Cricetulus griseus: one gene and its partner. The protein of the gene in region 1 interacts with the protein of each later gene in a biochemical or structural test. Links are inferred from orthologs where the notes say so. Each region holds a gene or a part of one and is shown on either strand. Other genes may lie near its edges. The genes, in order: Areg and S100a4.

The links.
Region 2: the proteins of Areg (region 1) and S100a4 form a complex in vitro, tested with the Homo sapiens proteins (2 studies listed by IntAct, with this or other methods). The link is inferred for Cricetulus griseus from reciprocal best matches to the Homo sapiens genes AREG and S100A4.

Annotation. Positions count from the first base shown.
Region 1 is NW_023276807.1:155,907,780-155,912,046, forward strand, and holds the start of Areg (amphiregulin), read left to right. Parts: upstream 1-1,449; 5' UTR 1,450-1,679; coding exon 1,680-1,743; intron 1,744-2,807; coding exon 2,808-3,035; intron 3,036-4,267.
Region 2 is NW_023276806.1:63,942,269-63,946,512, reverse strand, and holds S100a4 (protein S100-A4), read left to right. Parts: upstream 1-1,275; 5' UTR 1,276-1,432; intron 1,433-2,472; exon of another isoform or gene 2,473-2,533; intron 2,534-2,669; 5' UTR 2,670-2,684; coding exon 2,685-2,825; intron 2,826-3,449; coding exon 3,450-3,614; downstream 3,615-4,244. UniProt on the Homo sapiens protein: Calcium-binding protein that plays a role in various cellular processes including motility, angiogenesis, cell differentiation, apoptosis, and autophagy.

The DNA of each region.
Region 1 (4,267 bases):
ATGGTGACCCACATTCCTGAAAAGGCAGTTTGAGGCATGCTGGGGGAGAGCATGTGTATTTCCAGGTCAGAAGCACACTTTCGAGAATATACCTTGTTGTCATTAAATCAACAAAACTCCATTTCTGGGCTGCTAGAACATGGAAGTTAATCAATGAAGCGACTATCCGCCCCTTCCTCCTCCTCCTCCTTCTCCTCCTTCTTCATGTTAAGTATTCTCCAGACTCCCGTTGGTGTTTCTCTGAGTTGGTCTTTTCTGCTAGTCCTCAAACAGGCCTCAAGCCTGATCTGTAGCCTAGGTGGGCCCCGGGAGTAAAGATCTTCTAGTCTGGATGCTGGAGACACAGACCTATCATCATTAGGGCCCCCTCTGAGGCTAGAAATCGGGCCTCACTGGATCCTTTTAATCTGAACGGGGGGGCCCACCCACCTACATCACCATGCATGCCCCCTTTCCCCTCCCATGAAATGTGAAACTTTCTTCTTCCCCTTCTCAAAGACGATTTTAGCTCTGTCTCTATCAGCGTGGCAAGAGACAGATTTCAGAGCCAAACTAAACTGAAGCAAAGCTACGTGGAGTGCGTGCAGCTGTCAATCCACTCTCTCTGCTTTTTTACATCTACCTTTTTATTTGCCTGTAAAAAGGAGGAGTATAGGACCCCAGCAAGGTGTTAGTGAGACCCTGGAGGAAAGAAATTTTGTTTGGGTTTCGGTTTTGTTCTATAGCCCAGCTTGACTTCTCCCTACAATCCTCTATTTCAACCTCCTAAATTCCAGTGTCTGGCCATGCCCAGCTAAAATCTTAAGAACCTAATGTGACACCAAAAGGCCAGCAAGTACTGCTTTGAAAGGCCCTGGGGAGGATGTCTGATTGATACCTGGGCCATTTTGGAGTCTTAAAATTAGAGTCCAGGTGGGACAGGTCCCCAGGCCCTGGAGAGAGTGTTTGATTGATATTTTGGGCCATTTGGAGTCTTTAAGAGCCCAGGTGGGAAAGGGCCCTAGGCTGCCATGCAAACCCGTCACACTCCAGCTCTTGTGGGGATGCTGTGCCTTCTCATTTAGTTAACTAACTTCCTTTATCTTCCTCAAAGTCTTCAGGCTAACCTTGCTAAATCACAGCTGCTCTTAAAGTTCTGTGCCCTAACCTGGGACTTTGCTATTTCATCTCCCTGGCTTGTTATCCTGCTAACATCAACGAATATGCAGAGGTTTTTCAGACCCTGTGGCACTGAGACTCTGGGCTGACAGCTGCTCCTCCCAACTCCAGTTTAGAACAAGAGTGGGAAAATTTATCCCGGCATTGACAGGGCTCCATCCCCACTTCCTCCTGGCTGCTGTCTGTCTGCCCGGTTCTGGGGTAGTAACCTCCTGCCTCCTCCACCCACTGCCGACCCGTGACGTCACGGGCGGTGGCTCCCGCGGGCCTATAAAGCAGCAGGTGCTCACTGCACCGCACCCTCAGTCTGCTCGCTCCTCTCCCTCCTGACACGCGAACACCGCCCCGACATCCCGAGCTGAGCAGGAGGCGCTGGCCGCTCCCGCCGCCCGGAGCCCGGCGGGCTGGGCATCCCTGCGCCAGTGCTTGCCCGCTGCTCCTCGTTCCCGCTGATCCCGCAGCCCAGAGCCCCAGCCGTCGTGTCGCCGCAGAGACCCGGACGCCGCCGGCCCGCGGGACCAATGAGAACTCCGCTGCTGCCGCGGGCGCTCCTGGTGCAGTCGCTGCTGCTTCTTTTAGGCTCAGGTGAGCACCCGCCGCCTCCAGCAGCCACCTGGTCTGTAGCCCCTTAAATGCTGCTGTCCTTTGACGCCCCGAATTTTTTCCGGCTGGCGAACGGATGCCGGTAGTTCGCTCCGCTGAAGTTGCTCTTGCTAAGAAGACAGCAGACAGAGGTCTCTAGCATGCCCCAAGGACCAGGCTGCCCGTGAGAATACCTATACTAAAATCCAGCGGATGGAGACCTACGAGGTCATTTTAGCCCAGGCTTTCCTTTGACAGCTGAGGAACCGAGTCCAGACAGGTGAAATAATTTCCGCAAGAGTAGTTAATCCAAGAGGATTTGAGGAGGTTTCCTTGCCTTCTGTCTCCATCTCTTGTGTCTAGGTATTTTATTTTTACCTTCCTAAAGAGGACTCAAAGTGCCCTAGAGAGAGGCTGAAAGCACCGCTGCCAGTGCTGCTTTGAGATTTAAAAAGAAAAAAATAAAAAGGAAAAGAGACAAAATCATAAAAGAATAGAAAAGGCAAGGACTGGAACTCAGAACTCTCCAAAAGTTACCAGGTGCTCTCAACTTTTTCTCTGTGCTAATAATAATCATAATAATAATGGATAAAGATAGTAACAGTCCTTGCTGTTAGGCACCATTGTACTACCTTTAACATTTTATGTACAGATTCAACAGGCATAATCAAGTGTTAAAATGGATCCCCACATGCAGCATCAGCTAAAAGGAGGCAGGAGAGCATGGGCAGAAAGGCACGCACGTCAGACCTGCACTAAGAGCCTATTAGACATTGCCTGTTATGTGATTCTACTGGACTGACTTGGCAGGGCTTTTTAAATTGTGGAAATTATTGTAGGCTATCTGTGGAAAAGAAAACCCAGATAAAAGAAACTCTGTAATTGGAGCGGCTGAGTTTGCCTCTTGGCAAACTGTGAAGTTGCTTTCATTAGTGACTCAGTCAGAAAAACAATAGCACACGTGCAGTGCAATAGCTGCTTTGATAGGAGGAGACAAGTCTCCCAGCACTGCTCACACAGTGACACAAAAGCCCCTAGACTCAAGGCCTCTTATTCTCTCCCTGCAGGCCATTATGCAGCTGGGTTGGACCTGAATGATACCACCTCTGGGAAAATTCCAGCATTTTCTGGGCACCACAATGCCACTGGACTTGTGGTTTCTGCGGGAAGTGAGGTCTCTACCATAAGTGAAATGCCCTCTGGCAGTGAACTCTCCACAGGGGACTATGACTACTCAGAAGAATATGATAATGAGCCACAAATATCCGGCTATGTTATAGATGATTCAGTCAGAGGTAAGTGGAGGAGACCGGAAAAATTCTGTGTATGAGATGTGGTTTGATCTTAGCAATGTGGCTTCAGAAAAAACATCGCTTTTCCGAGTTTTCTAATTGCTTTATAGGTGTGGCTATTGCATATCCTTTAAAGAAGTATTGTAGATTGCATCCTATACGTCTAAGGCATTAATCAAAGTCTTTATAATTCTGGTAAACAGAAATTATTATTCTCATTTTACACAATAACTGAAGCTCAGAAAGGTTACGTGGCTCAGGGAGCAAGCAGTTGAGTCAGAATTAGAACCTCAATCTGCTTGATTCCAGGGACTATGTTCTTTTCCAGGTGTGCCACATGACCTCCATTCTGAGAGCAGAGGTAGTCATTAACAGTTCCTGTGGGCCTTGTAGCTCAACACTTGTATCCCCTCCCCCATACTACTGTGTTCAAATAACAAGCATTTTAACACAAATAAGGGAACAGAAGAAAAACTGACAGACCTCTAGAAATGTTAAAGAAACACAAGTATGTGTATATTTTATTTTTATCCAAACTAGTGACCCCCTTTTCTCTCTTTTGCTCTTACCAAACAGACCTTTTAAAAATACCTTTCTTTTACATGAGAGAGAGATAAAAGCTCCCTACCTTCATTTTACTTTGTATTTTGAGGGAAGAAGAGACTATCGATAAGTCAGGTCTAGAACTGTCTACCCTAGAGGAAGGATAAGGGGATTCCAGAGTTCTTTAAGTTCTTTTAAGACTTTCATAGAAGATTTTCCTCCTCCTCTGCTTCCCCTCCCCCTCCTCCTTCCCCTCCTTTAGAGTCTCCCAGAACTGAAGAATAGTGAGTGAGTGTCCTAATACAGGGACAGGGACTGGGCAAGTGACAGGAGGGATAAACCTCAATGACCATTCTACTTTGGTGCCTTGCTTCTAATTGTTTTGTTTGTTTGTTTTGATATATGTCATGAGAAAGGGGATTAGATTAGACCATTGGGTGTCCAGGACTTATGATATTAACACATTCAGAGGGCAAATCAATTCCTAGCAGAGCAAGTGACCAATATTTAGAATTGCAGCTCAGTGTATAAAGCTGAAACTGTTGGTTGAGCTCATTTGAAAGTCTGTTTGCTTAAATGCCCATGGGTGTTCTGTCTGTTGCGACACTTCAGCACAGTGACTATTATTTGGCTTGGACTTCTAATCTACCTGATGAAGTATAGTGATATTCATTTAAGACTGTTCTCCTAGA
Region 2 (4,244 bases), on another chromosome or scaffold:
ACCCTGGCTACTCATGCACAGTAGAAGCTTTCCTAGGGATGTCAAAGTAGTGAGGGGTGGAACAGTAGCTTCTCTTCTTGGAAGGGAGAACATTTGCTCTCTCACTTTGGAGGCTCAGCCATGTGCACACTGTGGCAGGGGCCTGCTCAACTCCTAATAAAGAAATGTCAGCTTGGCTTGGTTTGGTTCTTCTGATGGGACACACTGGATTTTGGGACTGAGTCCTTGGGAGTCTTTACCCCTCTATGTTCCATATCGCTGGAGGAAGGCAGCTGAAGGCAGGGGCCCTAAAGGCAGTTCCAGACCCCATAGGAATGCATAAGTCTCAGTATTCAGTAGGAAGGTGGGGCCATTACAAGTCCCCATCAGGTGAGGCTGGGGGTCTTTGTCTCCATCTCTCTGTCCCCTGTCTTGAGGTGGAAGCCCTTGTTTTGGGCTTTCTAGGAGGGCAAGAGGCTCCTTGGGAGAAACTCAGTACTTGTGATTAGAGCATCGAGGTATGTGGGTATGGGTGTGGCATAGCTGTGGGAAACCAGAGAGCAGTAGCAATAGGATTGGGGCCTCTGAGGTATTTGCTGCCAGCCAGGGAGGGAGCCTCTGTATTTACTGCAAGGGGAAAGGGATACTTTGAGTCAGTCCTCATCTCTGAAACCACAGCCCCTGAGGGTCCCAAGTTCCCATTTCTGACCATTGCTCAATCCCCGTATTTGTACCCCATCCTTAGAGATTAATCCTGACTCCCCATTTTACCTGTTTCTCCTGTAACTCTCTTCTCCAAGCTGAGTGTTCAAACCTGAATGCTCCCATCAGCCCCAATACCCTCCCTGGACCTTCTACCCATTCATGAACCTCGAGGCCTCATTACTGCCCTAACTCCATCACGCCCTCTTAGGCGTTTCCCACTTAATACCTAGGGTGGTACCAAGGCCCCTCCCGACTTGCCAGTCTTCACTCTGGGTCTTACTGAGCGTGACAGAGAGCTGTTTAGGCTGGAGAGAAGGGCTGACTGTCCCACTGGCCGGGGTCACCTCCCCAATTCCTGGGCCATACATTTCCATATTCCCCTCTTGCCCATCACCTCCCCATCTTCTTTCCTGTGGCCCACATCCCATGCCCATGTTGCCCCTTCTCAAAGCTTCCTTAAAAGTTGGCTGAGCTGTGGCTACTGGGTGGTATCCACACCATTCAGGTCTCTCGTGTCCACTGGGGCTTACTCAATGCTCGCCTGTGCCTGCTGGGTAGTAGGAAGCTTGGTTCTCAGGTTGGGCTGGTGGAGGGGCCTGTGACATTTACTACATCAGCCAACAGTAGGAACATAGTATCCAAGCTCCCCCCATCCCCTGCATGGGCAGGGCCCAGCAGAGTATAAATAGGGCAGACATTTGAGCTTTCCCCAAACCTCTCTGTTCAGCACTTCCTCTCTCTGGGTCTGGTGAGTTGTGTTGGCTTCATAGCAGTATTAGTGGTGTCAGAGGCTGAGGCTGGGACAGGAGAAAGGGAGGCTTCTGGGGAGACAGATGTTTTTACTAGATCCAGATGAGAGATTCTGATGTGGAGGCTGTGTGTGTGTGTGTGTGTGTGTGTGTGTGTGTGTGTGTGTGTGTGTGTGTGTGTCTGTGTGTCTGTGTGTCTGTGTGTCTGTGTGTGTCTGTGTGTGTTGCACAAGAATGAAAACAGCAACAAAAAGGTGTATAGATGCCATTTGAGCTCTCAAGATTTCTAAGATGCTGAGGCTTACACGTGTTGTTGCTACAGTGTACATCTGTGTTTGGGAGCCATGGATAGGTACCCTGATGGGTGTTTGCTGGGTCATTCAAGCCAGTGTGTGCGGGAAAGCAGGTGCAGGAAGCAAAGTGAGGGAACATGTAGGCTTTCTTCTTAACGTTTAAACTTCAGTTATTTATTTGTGTGCATGCATGCGTGGGTTGGGGATGGGGGGCTCATGCCAAGGTGCACTTGTGGAGGTAAGAGGGCAACTTGTGGGAGGGAGTCAGTCTGCTCCTTCTACCATGGGCTCTGGGGATCAAACTCAGGCCATCAAGCTTAGTGGCAGGCACCTCTACTTACAGGCTACCACTCCAGCACTCACCTGTAGACTTCTGTGTTCATATTAGTGCCTTATGGACATCCAGCACCCCAGGTCAAGAGAGCCTGGCTTCCCCACCCTCCCCTTGTGCCCCTACCTCTGCCACCTCATCTCACTCCTCACTAAGCTGGTCAATAGGCAGCTGGGTTTTTTCCGCTGTGGGCCCATGGGCAGGCAGCCAGCAGCCGCGCCCAATGCTGGGAGGGGGAAGAACGGGCCAGAGCCTGGTGCTTGTGGTTGAGCTGAGCAAGGACGGAAAACTGCTGTTGTTGAGGCCAGGCCCGAGGACAGTCAGCCCAAAAGCTGCTGGCACGAATCTCCAGAGATTGTATGGTAGGCTCTGCATGTTTCAGAGCCCAAAGCATACACGACCATCTTGCCATTAGTGGGTCCCACTCCTCTGATCTCTCTGGGAATGAGGACAGTCTCCTGAAGTGTTCCTAGAGGGTAGGTTGGAATGGAGCATTTAAAATGGGGGCAGAATGAGTCTATGACTTGGGTGATGAGCAGTGCCACATAGCCAGTTCTTGATACACTGTTGGTGTGGGTTGGGTAAGGCTACCTTTGTGTCTCCTGCCCCTAGCTCTCAACTGTCACCATGGAATACCCCTTAGAAGAGGCCCTGGATATGATGGTGTCTACCTTCCACAAATACTCAGGCAAAGAGGGTGATAAGTTCAAGCTCAACAAGTCTGAGCTGAAGGAGCTGCTGACCAGGGAGCTGCCTAGCTTTTTGGGGGTGAGTGGGTCCTGCCTGTGTATTTCATGTGTGGTGCATCCCCAGGAGGAGGTTGGGACTCTGGTAGGTAGTGCCTAGCTACAGTTGGCGTATATCTCTAAGGTGGGGAAATGGAGGTTGGAGAGCTTGCTCCGGGTGCTTGGTGTGGAACCACAGTGAACCATCTATCCCTCATTAGCCCTCAGCTGAGAGAAGGCTTAGAATGAACACAACCGAAGAGACAGAGAAAAAGCAAAACAACTGCCTAACATAGTCAGTGTCTGAACTGCAGGCTAGATCAGGACTGTTGGCAAGAGAAATTGAGTTTCTGTTTGTGAAGACACGATGGTGGAGGCACACAAACACCTGCAGAGTCTCTCCTCAATAACACCTTGCATTAGTTAATTTAATGCATCACTGCCATGGCTGCTACCTAATGAGATAATTAAAGCAAACAAGGAGAAGATGTGGTCCTCCCCGTTCCCAGCTACCTCAAGTGCCCGCATCTAGGGCACATCCTCCTCTACATAGCTTAGTCCCAAGGCTTCCTGAGTGCCCAGAGGCACTCAGGTGTTCCTGAACACCTGGCTGGAGGCAGAGATCTAGCTTGGGTCTGGCTTCTAACTGTTCTTCTTCTACTCCCAGAAAAAGAGAGATGAAGCAGGATTCCAGAAGCTGATGAGCAACCTGGACAGCAACAGGGATAACGAAGTAGACTTCCAGGAGTACTGCGTCTTCCTGTCCTGCATTGCCATGATGTGCAATGAATTCTTTGAAGGCTGCCCAGATAAACAGCCCCGGAAGAAGTGAAGACTCTGCAGATGAAGTGTGGGGGCGTGGTCTTCGGGAGGAGGGGGCTCTTCCCTTTTGGCTCTGAGCATAGTGCCTTACTCTGGCTTCTTCATACATATGCACAATGCTGAGCGAGTTCAATAAAGAGTCTTGAAACTATGTGCTGTTGCCTAAGAGACTGGAGATTGTGGGTTGGGTGTTGAGGGAGGGTATATCACAGGGTAGTGGTGGGGACTGCGGGGAGTTGAGCTGGGAGTTGAGCCTTGAGGGAACAAAACTAGAAAGGGTTGGGTAGGGGTTGAGTGGCTGATTTAACTAGCATGCAAGTGTGTGTGTGTGTGTGTGTGTGTGTGTGCGCGCACATACGTGCAACAAAGAAAACTTTGGGAATACTTAAGGCAGAAGCCACCAGAGGCTTGGCTTGAAAGGCTCCAGATGTGGGAAGTTAGCCAGTCCACCACCCTCCTTTCTCTCTCCAGATCTGCCTCTGGGCTCAAACTGAAGTTGGGATGGGATTGAAGGTCACATCTGTTGCTGGTTGGAGTCTGGAGGGAAGACAACGGGCCTGAGTCACAAGGAAGGAGTCCAGAAGGATGGGGAGGTGGACTGGCACCCATCCCTGACATTTATAGTCCAGGTCCTGCCCTG